Arabidopsis thaliana: one gene and its partners. The protein of the gene in region 3 interacts with the protein of the main gene of each other region in a pairwise test. Each region holds a gene or a part of one and is shown on either strand. Other genes may lie near its edges.

What was found. The genes of interacting proteins can lie anywhere in the genome.
Region 1: the proteins of EXO70B2 (region 3) and GPX5 interact in a two-hybrid assay, tested with the Arabidopsis thaliana proteins (one large-scale study listed by BioGRID).
Region 2: the proteins of EXO70B2 (region 3) and AT5G67130 interact in a protein complementation assay, tested with the Arabidopsis thaliana proteins (one large-scale study listed by BioGRID).

What each region holds. Positions count from the first base shown.
Region 1 is NC_003074.8:23,308,160-23,311,914, reverse strand, and holds GPX5 (glutathione peroxidase 5), read right to left. Parts: upstream 2,179-3,755; 5' UTR 1,755-2,178; coding exon 1,695-1,754; intron 1,602-1,694; coding exon 1,525-1,601; intron 1,437-1,524; coding exon 1,375-1,436; intron 1,236-1,374; coding exon 1,117-1,235; intron 1,006-1,116; coding exon 838-1,005; intron 751-837; coding exon 715-750; 3' UTR 518-714; downstream 1-517. Other genes in the region: AT3G63070 (Tudor/PWWP/MBT domain-containing protein), read right to left, coding at 2,340-2,365, 2,573-2,752, 2,907-3,264, 3,357-3,755. UniProt on the Arabidopsis thaliana protein: May constitute a glutathione peroxidase-like protective system against oxidative stresses.
Region 2 is NC_003076.8:26,789,712-26,794,399, reverse strand, and holds AT5G67130 (PLC-like phosphodiesterases superfamily protein), read right to left. Parts: upstream 3,102-4,688; 5' UTR 2,802-3,101; coding exon 2,697-2,801; intron 2,603-2,696; coding exon 2,480-2,602; intron 2,243-2,479; coding exon 2,105-2,242; intron 2,024-2,104; coding exon 1,925-2,023; intron 1,833-1,924; coding exon 1,529-1,832; intron 1,443-1,528; coding exon 1,219-1,442; intron 1,147-1,218; coding exon 1,060-1,146; intron 952-1,059; coding exon 751-951; 3' UTR 518-750; downstream 1-517. Other genes in the region: AT5G67140 (F-box/RNI-like superfamily protein), read left to right, coding at 1-96, 176-391; AT5G67120 (RING/U-box superfamily protein), read left to right, coding at 4,663-4,688.
Region 3 is NC_003070.9:2,149,596-2,154,065, reverse strand, and holds EXO70B2 (exocyst subunit exo70 family protein B2), read left to right. Parts: upstream 1-1,524; 5' UTR 1,525-1,760; coding exon 1,761-2,252; intron 2,253-2,360; coding exon 2,361-3,668; 3' UTR 3,669-3,908; downstream 3,909-4,470. Other genes in the region: SLP1 (Calcineurin-like metallo-phosphoesterase superfamily protein), read right to left, coding at 1-14, 104-316, 461-562, 643-675, 758-870, 934-1,117; AT1G06990 (GDSL-like Lipase/Acylhydrolase superfamily protein), read right to left, coding at 4,057-4,247. UniProt on the Arabidopsis thaliana protein: Component of an exocyst subcomplex specifically involved in autophagy-related, Golgi-independent membrane traffic to the vacuole. Regulates autophagosome formation and autophagy-related Golgi-independent import into the vacuole.

The DNA.
Region 1 (3,755 bases), on a different chromosome or scaffold from region 3:
GGGATAGGTGGGTCGTTTGTTCACAAAATAAAGCCATAAAAATGGTTAATGTTAATAATATCAGTAGTTTGACTAATCTCTAACAAAAGCAAAAGAAACTGATAAGACAAGAAAGAAGAAGGATGGATGCATGAAAGAGTGGTCAAGGTCTCCTTTTAAGTACTCCTTTTTTCTCCTTTGTACTCTCTATTTCTTCAATTGTCTGCCACGTTTCACAAACAGCGCACGTGAGAGTGATACGCCACTTATAATCGATACATTACAGATGGAAAGAAGTTCTCATTGAACACATGAGACAGATTTAAACATTAATTATCGTCGAAACTGAGTAATTTGCACCATAAAAAGTAAATGGTGAGAGTGATAGATAGACTAAAATGTCTTTTGGTATCCTAAGACGTTGTTATAGGCGTTCTCTTGAGTGAAAATCATTGATGTTTTATTTTGATCTTGCTGATTTCGTCTAATCTTTAGCTTAGCTGGTGGTTTGTATTTGTTGGAATTAGTTTTTTTTTTTCTTTTTTTTATGGGTTCAAATCAACTTATTGGAATCACCTTTGATCAAATTTCACAAAAGAAATGGCTAGTAGAGTTACACATAAGATGAATACAAGGCCCATATGGAAGGTGCAATGGGAAATGTAGAAACTTGACTGCATGACCGAGAGTATGAGAGAAGTTTCTTCCAAAGGAGTCAAATATCTCTGTGCGTGTTCACAATTCTTGTGCAAGGGCTTTCTCGATGTCTTTCTGTTATGCAGAAAACAAACATGAAGTAAGCCATAAAAGAGTGATATGATTTTATAATAGAATATGAAGAACAAGAGAGTTAGAGACCTGGATGGATAGAGGTGAAACAGTTGTGCCATAACGATCAATGACTTGACCATCTTTGCCGACCAAGAACTTGGTGAAGTTCCATTTGATACGACTTCCAAGAAAAGAGGGTTTCTTAGATTTGAGGAATTTGTAGACTGGTGCAGCGTTTTGTCCATTTACACGCACCTACACACACACATAGATGATCATGATCATTCATGCTTAGTTATAAACTTACAAAATCAGCTACCTATTAAAGGCATATGAAGAAGAAAAGTGTCTTGTTTGTTGAGGTACCTTTTGGAAAACAGGGTATTCAGCCTTAAAGCGAGTACAAGCAAATTGATGAGCCTCTTCGCTGGTGCCAGGCTCTTGGGACAGAAACTGGTTGCAAGGAAACGCCAATACCACAAAACCTGATGATGATCCAAAGGAAACCAAAACAAAAAATCTTACATAAACGATGAAGTAACAAGGGAAAGCAAAAGAAGAAGAGTCTTCTTTATTAGAAAGGAATATATACATTCCTATTCTAATATTCTTGTATGGTCTGACCTTGATCTTTATATTTCCGGTAAAGTTCCGTCAGCTGGGTGTAATTGGACTCCGTGAATCCGCTGTTCCCCAAATTGTTTGTTAACAAAAAATTTAGAATCAAGAAATAATAATTAACTAGAGAGAAGATGATCGGAGGATCTGACGGACCATTTAGAAGCGACGTTGACGACGAGCAGCACTTTCCCTTGATACACGCTTAGGTCAACCTCCTTGCCGGAGCTATCCTAATTTCCGATAGATCAGACAAACAAGTCAGAAACGCATTCATTCATCAGATAAACAAACAATGAAGAAAAGGGATTCATAAATTAGAAAACCTTGACGGTGAATTGATGGATTGATTTCTCCGACACAGATGATGATGATGAAGCACCCATCTCTCGATCGATCTCTATCGCACAGAAGAAACTAATTAAAATTATTTGAAGTCAACAGGTCTCCGCTTCTTCATTGTTCATTTTATCTCGCAGCAGCATTACAGCTGTTATGTTAATTCCTTGGTAACAAACAAACCCATCCCTAATTGTTTTTTCCATTTGCTATTTAACTAATTAATCGCCTCTTTGACCATTTTTTAGAGACATCTCATCTCTCCAGGTGACAGAAATGCATATTAGTGTGTATTACCACCACTCCCCAAAAATAAACCAAAAAATTTTGTTTACAAAATATCAAATGCCTAAATCAGTGACAGTATTGCCTAACTCAAATCTCTCTCTCTCTACTACAACAAATGGCTTTTCACGACTGTTTCTTTAGCCTTCTCCACGACGTTTTTGGTCATATGTACACACACCAACTGTGCCTTTTTTCTTTTGTATATTAACATCTCTCTCAAGTGGCCCAGGTCTTTCCAACCTACACTTGTTTCTCCCTATTTCTTCTTTTCCATGACTATAGCCCAAATGTCTTTCATTTAGAGCAGACTGCACCTTTGCCCTTCTTCATCTCTTGTCTCCCACTCACCTTTGATGCCACGTCCCTGGATCTGCATATCCACAAACATACTCCAAGTTCATTTTTATATTCAAGATATACCCACAGGACAAGCAAAACAATCTCGAATCTCAGAGACCTAATGATATAAAATCCCCAGTCAAAAGAAAATGTCAGAGTTTCTAAACCTAGGAAACAATTCCAGTATAAGAAAAGGCTCTGATTCATGACGTGGAACAAGTATGAATTTCCATATTACCTCTCATTCCTACTGGAACAGGACCTTCCGAATGCTGCTTATAGTGATAAGAGTGTCTATTGTTATATGCACGCGGAGAATCACTCCACCTATTGTTCTGCAACCTTCCTGAGTCACGGTGATGCCCACTGTATGAGCTCGATTGATGAGGTCCTTTGTGTCTGTCATGATATCGTGGACCTGCAATATAAAAAAAAGAAAAGCATTCACGCCTATTAGCATCCATGAGCAAGTGCTTGTGTGCGCAGATATGCATTCATATATGCATTCATATATGCCTATTAGCATGCATGAGAATTATAAGGAAAAAAAAAAAAAAGGTATCGGAGTCCACCATGAGAAGAGGGCGGATGATATCTCCAATTGTCTCGATTCTCGCATGGTTCAGGCCTCATTCTCTCATAGCTGTCTTGATAATTCCTTTCGTCAAATTCCAGTGTGTAATGAGATCTGTGAGGGTATGATAGACCTTCTCTCCGCGACTTTATATGGTGGTCCGGCTCCATATATGAATAATGATGTGATGGCGGAGGAGGTGGGGGATGAGAAGATGGATATGGCCTATGCTGGAAGTTAGAACCCTCCCCACGTGGCATGCTTTTTGACAAAGATACTCGGGAACTATAAGATGGTTCAGGACTTCCGTAATGCATTGGGGGATTCATCCTTGGAGGACCGGCATGATAGTCGCCCTTGAATATTAACCACAAATTAAGTTATTAACTATGTCTGAATCCTCACTTTGTTAACTGCAAAAGATTCTAAAAGAAGAAAAAGGACGCACCTGCATGCTGGGATTTCTGCGGTAGTCAAAGCCATTTGAGTAGGAATTAGACATTGCCAACTGAGCATTCTGCGAAGGGCGAGCTGGTGGAGATGACGAGGTAACATTCTGATGTGAAGTTCCAGGGACAAGCAGACAATTTGCAGACTCTCTATTATCAGCTTGATCTGTGATCGCACTAGCACTGCTTCCACCTTCCCAAGGTGGAGCCACGTCTTCCATTTCAAGCTCACCATCAACATCTTCCAGTATACGGGTATGCCTTTCGGTAATGGACGGTGTGACATGTTCTTCAAGGCTTCTTGACTCGTGTTCAGGGGTGACAGACTCAAAATCACCCCCATCCGAGTCACTTCCTTCGTCTTCATCCCTAAGTATTGGAGGTATGCAGAATCCATG
Region 2 (4,688 bases), on a different chromosome or scaffold from region 3:
TCAAGAACTTCCTCACTGCAACACCTAAACATAGGAGGAACATTTATAACCGATGAGTCTCTTTTCGCAATTGCAGAACGCTGCCATCAGCTTAAGGTAACAACAATCATCTAACCAAATAATTCTCTCTAGATTCATGAGAATCACGCTTTCGAAATTGGAATCCTTTATGCAGACAATCGGAATGTGGTGTTGCCGTCATGTGACAGAGAGAGGCCTTCTTGTTCTTGTAAACAAATGCAGAAAACTCGAATCCATCAACTTATGGGGAACTAGAGTTCCTGTAGATTGCTTCATTGCTTTACTTACCATCAGTCCTGCTCTTCAGATCAAACCCATGGAATTGCTTCTCAATGCTCAGAATCCACCACCGTTGCTGCATGCTGTCTAGTGTTGCTCATCATATTTCTTGTTTGTTGTGTACATAGTAATTCATACAATTGAATCTGCATATATCTTATGTGTTCTCTCATCAATCAACAACATATATATATAAATATTCAGTAAAGTTTCTATTGGAGTAGAATTGTGTCTATATATATATATATATAAGTTGCATAACAATCAACAGAAGCTGAAGACACACATACACAAGATTTCTGCCTATAGCTCTGCAGTCTACAATACAAGAATCAAATCAGAAACTCTTTCTAAGGCAATTCATGTCAACTTAGGCTCTCTCATTCGTTCTAAAGAAGTGATCAAGATTCTCTAACCTAAGAATCTCTCCACGTGGTTTGATTGGTTGTGTCATAGTAGAAATATCAGCAACGGAAGCAATGAGAAGCAGAAGACAACAATGTTGTTTAGTTGGGCCACAGAAGCTAAAGATCTTGAGAACTGAACTGAACCTGAGTAGCTTCCACCTGAGTTGCTTCCAGCCGTTGAATCCATGCTTGGAGTTCTTGTCTGTACAGTAACATTTTTGCATGAACCATAAGCTGCTCCTGGCTGCAACATCAAGAACCAAAATACGGGTGCCGGTTTTAGATAATTTAGGCTTGTAAGATCTTATTTCATACCCATAAGTAACTTTGGCGCGAGTTAATAAGTTAATACCTGGCAAGCAGAAAGAGTTTCACAACCGCAAAGTACCGGTCCATTCATTCTATCCAGAATTTCGAAAACGCCGCCTCCATCACTTCTCTGCAATATTATGGTTTGTTAGCTAGATCTCGTAAAAACAGTCATATTATAGTTATATGATTGATTCAGTACCATGTAGAAGTTAACAGCAAGAAAGTTTGGCATTCTATTCCCTCCTGACTTGAGACAAGTCCCAACCATCTCAGCAAGTGGAGCTGAGTGCTCCTTGCAAGCGTCTTTCTCAACCGGATATGTCGGGAAGTAATTCATCAAGAATAGCGAAGAACTTTTTGAATTTAAAGGTTGAGACTCTTTTCTGTTAGGACAAGAACCTCGCTTCACTCCGGGATCCCCAGCTTTAGACAATCATAAGAAAATGGCAAGAGAAGGTTATTCTCAGAGACAATTTTCATTAAAGATATAAACTGTGTGTAATACGCACATTCATTTTCAACCATGTATCTCCACTGATACGCAACGCCTTCTTCATCTTCTTTGGCAGCAACAGAAGTGAAAACCAGGAGCCTATGATTCTCTTGCACCATGTCAGTCACAGTAGGCCAATCTTCTCCCTTTCTAGGCATTTTCGAAACAGGGAACCAGTATTTGTCCAAACCAGCGTTGGCAAACAGTGTTGATAAGCCTTTAGGTCTGTGCACATAATCCTCTATTATGATGGTAACAATCTCTGTTGGGTTTTGACTCAGAAATGCCTCAACTTCCCTCAGTATGTTAATTGCAGGTTGCTGATTCAAAAAGAAAACAAAGTTCACATTTACCAATCCAATCAGGTTTCAAGCTTTCGATCCAGCAAGGTTAAGCTGAAGATAAAACTTACAAAAGCGGTGAAGTTGAAACATTGCCCTCGAAGCGAATGGCAAAGCCAGATATCATTGTTGAAGTCATACATATCCAGCATTAGCCCTCTAACTCCATTCTAGAACAAAAATATACATTCAAGAGTTTTATCCAAAAAAAGAGGAAACTATAATAAGAGAGTTGGTAATAAGAGCATTACTTGTAGCTGATTAGTAATAGTATCTTCTTGATTGTAAAATGTAATCCTCTCAACACCTGGCAAAAGTGGTGCATTTGCATTGCTAAAGGCATTATGAGTCATCAACCATGTATACTTGTTAAAAGGCAATCCATTGATCTACAAAAAACACACACACAAATTTCATCACCACATCTTCAAAGTTCAAAACTTTTGATACAACCAAATGATCTAGACTATCTTTTAATGCAACCAAATGAAATCTTCAGCAAAACCCATCTTCAAAGTTCAAAACTTTTGATAGACCAAGTGATCTAGACTATCTTTTGAAACAACGCATCTTCAAAAATTGGAAACTCTAGAGAAATCCAACTAATTATAGGAACTAAATCTCACAATGGAAGTTGGACTTGTGGCTTGGCCTCTTGTGCAGACGGGTTTACTTCTTCCAACGGCAGGACAGTCTCCACAGTATAAACCAGAGACACAATCAGTAGCCGAGGAGCATGAATCCAGCAGCTGAAAGAGACACAAAAATGCAAAATCCCTAAAGATTTAGACCCAAATTTGATAGCCATAAACCAGAGAATAATAAGCAAAGAGAATCAAGAACCTGGCAATTTCCATTGGAGCAAGCTGAGGAAAAAGAGAAAGAAAGAAGAAGAAGAAGAAGAGAGACAGTCACGGCTCTGCATAAGCCATTGATGCACGCCGACATCGCTCCGTAGCTTATGCAGAGATAGAGAGAGAGATATGAATGATGTTGGATCTACTTGGGGGGGTTTTCAAAGACGAGACAAAGAGATGTTTAGGTACTAAAACCCGGGCTTCATCGATTTGTTTTGTTAATCCTTGAAAGAGAGGTACAAAAGAAAAAGATTAGCTTTGGTTTTCTTTTTCTAAGACAAGGTTGAATCTTTTTCCCACCTAGCTCCTAGAGAGAAAATGAAGAAACGATTAGTAAAGAAGATAAACCACCTTTCAAAAGGAGTTCAATTTTGAGCATAATACAGTTTAACATTATAATAACATAACTCAAAACTACAGTTTCTAGTCTTGTACACCAAACATATGGAGTGACATTTTTGTCAAGATTTATGGAAACAGTGATCTTGTAAGAGTTTATCAATATAAGTAATAATGGTTTTATATTATTTCTTCTAGTTGTTAGGTGAGGTCTATCATAAAAAAAAAAAAAATTATTTCACAGATCACTATTTTCATTCTCTAAAATTTGCTCAGTTATAAGATTTTTTCACCTATTATTAGATGAAGATATCTTTTTTCTATTATGGTTAACGGTGCTCACATGCGTGGGGACACTCTTGTCTTGTTGCTTGTCTCTTTGCTTCTTTCAATGAAAAATGTTACAATTTTCATCATCTTACAAAAATTACTCAAACATCTAGGTGAAATTTTATTCTTAACGAGATTTATCATACCATGCCTATTTCATCTGCAGATTCGTCAGCAAGTGACGTATCGAATTAGTGACACTCTTAACGATCAAATGATTAATTTCCATTAAACCAAAAAAAAAAATGATTGATTTCCATAACCGATTTATTCACAATTGGTGATTTAACACACAAGTTGCTGTAATATACTCTTGATGTGTTTTTAACTTGAGATTTTTTTTTTAATACACAAAAAAAAAAAAAAACTTTTGTAGTTTGGACATTTACGTCCATTGAGTATGACGTCGTCGTCGTGTAAATTCTCTCTCTGCCTCTCGCTATAACGCTAGGCCCATTTACGTATTTTACTGAGCCTTTTTAGTTGGACCCAAACTCTCTCTTTTTAAGCCCATGACCCAAGTAATGTAATTAATCATCTTGTGAACTTGTAAATGAGGAAAACAAGATGCATATCTCCGGTTTAAAAAGCGTTTTAATGACGTTGAAAGCAAATATACAAAGCCAAAACATAAAATTTCCTTCCTTTTTTTGTTGAAAGCAACATTTATTATTTTTTGTACTTATTCACTCTAAAATGATATTTTTCCATTGAAGAAAATTCAATAAAGAAATGTTTTTCTATAAAAAACCAATTCAACTGTATTAGAGCTATAATTAAAACAGAATCCTTATTTTCAATAAAATAAATCTTCCGAATCCAGCTAAAGTTCCATTTTTATTAGCTGTCACAATTTTTTTAATTGAATTTTTAACATTTTGGGACTTCAAACTACCCAACAATTGTAAATCAGTGGTCTTTTTCTCCTTGAACTTTTTTTTGGTATAAACCTTTTTTCCTTAAAGTTGCTAAATCCTTTTATCCATGGAGGCACTGAAAAGTGGGTTATATGCATTATTTATCGTTTAAGCCTTAATTTGGTATATATATTTTTCCTTTAACTGAGCTACAATATATTTAGTGGTTTTTCTTTGTTCATAACGTCTTTATTTTTTCTATTACTTTATCAATATTAAGACTATCCTGTCCACTCAAGTATTTGCATTTGAATGGAAGAGTTAAATGGTGATGATACTTGAAAGTGTTAATTATCTATATAAATTCAGCTTAATCTAGCCCCTTGAAAAAAAATTTTGAGTCAGGTAATATGTTTCTCCAAAAGTATGGATCCAAACGAAGACAATTCTGA
Region 3 (4,470 bases):
ACTCCCTTTTGCCTCTGTCCTAATGGTTTTCCCACCGACTTTTGGTTAACCAACGAATACAAAAACTAAGAAAACTCAGAGAGGACAAGGCAAAATGAAGTACCTTTACTACATTCCATTGATCCCAATAGGTTTGAGAACTCCTCCTATCTTCTTTCCATTGTCTTGACTCAAAAATCCAATTCCTAAACGCTTTGTCCCAGTCTTGTGCATAGTCCTCCAAGTAGTCAAGAAAATCAGTACACTCATCAAATGCTCTCGCATCTACATATCTGAAATCCCCTTCAACATTCATTGTCTCGTGGTTCCCATTAACCTTTAAAATGTGACAAGAAGTTACTCTTTGTTAGTCCTATCAATTATCATCATTCTAGAACTAGCAAATTAAAATGTGTAGAGTGCAAAAGCTTCTCTGTGTAAAATTTACTTATGAAATTCAAGTATGATAGCAATCAAAAACCTGGAAAACAGCTCCACCATTAGCCTTGGCCTGATCATCAAGTGACCTCAATAAGGAGAGTATTGCGATTTCATCATCACCGCGATCAAGTATATCTCCTACCTGAACTAGTACCTGTATTTTCATTATGATTTCACAACTCATAAGCATTTAACTCAAAAGAATCAGTCATCATAATGAACCTCAAGATGCGTAATGTTGAACTCTAGCAGATACTGTCAATAATATCATCAAGCAAACCATTTAACACGATACTGAACCACTAAGAGATAATGTACATACGGTGTCTTGGCCGACCCACTGGTCTCGTCCGTCGGAGCTCAAGACGCCAGCCAACTGAAGTGCGTCTCTGGCTTTACCCAGATCGCCATGAAGGTCTCCAACTGTGAGTGCATATCCAAAACCAAAACCTACTCAATTTTGTTGTCAAATTATCAAAAAGATTGAAACTTTTCAGATTAATGGTGGCGAACCTGCAACGATACGACGAGCAGGAGCAGAGACGAAAGTGGGTGGATCTCCATTGATGACAATCGGCTTCAGAGCAAGTTCGTTACCATTAGAAGTGCTCAACAAAGAGGAAGAAGAAGGTTCTAAAAGTTTCTGGGGGTGAGAAGGAGGAAGTGGAAGTAAGGAATTGAGGTAAAGGGAAGCCATTGGTATTGGTGGTGGAGAAGCAATGATCCACCAGAGCTTTGATGAAATCACTTAACATTTGTGTTCGTCTGGTCTATAATTTGTGTGACTTGTCTCCAATTGCATGCTCAGTAATCAAATCCCTTTTATCTATCTACTGGCTGAGGTTTTTCCTCTCAATTTTTGGTTTTTCTGTTTTTAATAAAATAAAAGATAACCACAAAGACAAAAATTGGGCCTCTCAACCTTATCAAACTTATCGATCCCAAAAATGAATAATATGTCCATTGGGCCATCTAAAGCCCAAGTGTACTGGACGCCGAAAATTCAACGTAACGAAGTCATCGGCCCATAACCAATTTCCATGATGACCAAACGCACAACGCGGTTGTTAAATTGCGTTCACGTTCTGTAAACATCAAACCAGACAGAACCAAAAGAGAAAAATCGAAACGAAGACAAAGTCGTGGTCGTGGCACTAAGAAATTACAGATTCCATTAAAATACAAACAGAAGCACACAACTAAGTCAGACATGGTTCCCGCGTTTAATCTCCGAAGACTTTGTCAATATTATAGTCTTCGTCTATGGATTTTCGTCTTTATTCTCCCAATTCCACCAATTCCGTAATTTCCCCGAACATTATTAATTCCCATCCAATCATATGGCTGAAGCCGGTGACGAGAATCTTTACGCCGCCGCCAGAGACATCGCCAGAGCTCTCGGCAAGGATCCAAGTGCCGCCGGAGATATCTTACAGATTCTCTCCGGTTATGGCGCTTCCGGAAACCGCGGCGGAGATCCTCGACCCACCCCATCCCGCGGCGGCTCAAACGTCAACTTTGACCGAGCCCTCACCTCTTTAGAGAGACAGATCTCCAGCTACATCGTGGAAGATCGACCGATCTGGTCTGATCCCGTTGACTCGCGCACCTTCCTCGACTCTGTTGATGAGCTACTTGCGATTGCCGGAGACTTGAGATCCATGGCCGGAGATAAATCCGTCGCCGTCTGTCAATCCCGTGCCGATGAGCTGATTCAACAGGTGATGTTTAGGCTTCAAGAAGAGTTTGGATTTGTAATGGACCGAGCCCCTGACTCGTTTGACTCGGACGATGAGTTCCCCGGCGAAGAAGACAACGACACAAGCGACGGGGTAATTAATTCATCTGTAAATTTATTACTAAATTAGTTTTGGAATTAGAATTAGAAAATTCGGTTTACTATCGGTTATATTGTGGTTAAGTGATTCACAATTGAATAGGTAATCGTTGCTCGTCCAATCACTGATTACAAAATCGTGATCGAGGCGTTACAATCTAGCGTTATTGGCGATCTAAACGCGATCGCTGTGCGCATGGTCGCTGGTGGATTTGCAAAAGAGTGTTCAAGAGTGTACAGCAGTCGACGAAGAGAGTTTCTAGAGGAGAGTTTGTCGAGGTTACATCTCAGAGGACTAAGTATGGAGGAAGTGCAAGAGAGTCCATGGCAAGATCTTGAAGACGAAATCGACCGTTGGATTAAAGCCGTAACGCTGATATTCCACGTTTTCTTCCCGAGCGAGCGTCTTCTCTGCGATCGCGTTTTCTCTGATCTTCCTGTTTCCTCTGTAACCGATCTTTCTTTCATGGAAGTTTGTCGCGGAACCACAACACAGCTTCTGAATTTCGCAGACGCGATCGCTTTAGGAAGCCGTTTACCTGAACGTTTGTTTAAGGTTGTGGATTTATACGAAGCGATGCAAGACCTTATTCCTAAGATGGAAACGCTATTTTCTGATCGATATTGTTCGCCGCTAAGGCATGAGGCGCTCGCGATTCATAAACGGTTAGGAGAAGCGATTAGAGGGATATTTATGGAGCTGGAGAATTTAATCCGACGTGACCCTCCCAAAACAGCGTTTCCTGGCGGTGGGATTCACCCGATCACGCGGTACGTGATGAATTATCTGCGTGCGGCGTGTAAATCGCGGCAATCGTTGGAGCAGATACTTGACCAGACAGGAAATGAAACCGGATCAGATACGAGACCGTTGTCTGTGCAAATCATATGGGTTTTGGAGTTGTTGGAGAGTAACTTGGAAGGCAAGAAAAGAACTTATCGTGATCCGTCTTTGTGTTTCTTGTTCATGATGAACAATGACAAGTATATTCTTGATAAGGCTAAGGATAACGAGCTAGGTTTAGTCCTAGGAGAAGATTGGATTGTGAAGCACGCAGCGAAACTGAGGCAATACCATTCTAATTACCGAAGGAGCTCATGGAACCAAGTGGTGGGATTGCTTAGGACCGATGGTCCGTATCCCAAGTTAGTAGAGAACCTAAGATTGTTCAAATCACAGTTCGATGAGGTGTGTAAGGTGCAATCTCAATGGGTTGTTAGTGATGGGCAATTGAGGGAGGAGTTAAGAAGCTCTGTTGCCGGAATTGTATCTCCGGCGTACTCGAATTTCATCAGAAGATTGAAGGAGTCACCGGAGATTAATGGGAGGCGTGGAGAGCCGTTTATTCCGTATACTGTTGAAGATGTGGAGTTTATAATCAAACGGTTGTTCAAGGAAAGCTCAAGTTGATTAAATTAGATATGAAAAGAAATTAAAAAATTCTTATTAATTGAATTTTTTTGTAAAATTGTGAATCATTCTGTGTTTTTTTATCTTTCTTGGGTGAATAATGTTCATGGATCGGTGGAATCACCTTTTCGACATTGATTTGTTCATGTATTGCTTTTTTGATGTAAGAAATTTCCTTAAGGTTAAAATATAATTCGTTTGGGTTTCAAAACGGACTTACGAGCATTGTGCTATAGAGTTACAACTTACCAGGATAGAGTAGTATAATATCATAATAGTATACATGTAAAACCTAGCTTAAGCAAATACGAAAGATTATGTGAACCCACAGGGAAATAATTATAGATTGACTACAGATTAATTAATATATATGAAAGCAAAATGAAAATCAAGAGAGTACGTGGAAAATTTGTTCAACAAGACTGAGACTGATGACTATGTAAGCAATTTGGGAAGGATGAATATCGTCCCAGAAAAGGTACTGGTTAGGGTTAGGACAAATCCGAGTTAAAGCATTGCACAAGTACGCTAACTCTATTTCTCCAGTCCCGCAACATCCTCTCGTCGTCTCCTTTAACCCTGTCCCATTCAAAGGAATAACATTGATAACTACTTAGCTTTGTAATAAAATGAAATATTTTATAGTCTTGAATGTTCTCTTATAACAAACTATAATTTCAAAACCTGTAAAAAAAATTATCAGTAAAAATCCTGTAAAATACATGCACTTCACACGTATGTGATATATACTAATATGAGAGAATTGTGCGGAGAAAATTGGATTATGCTTTGGGTTTGATTG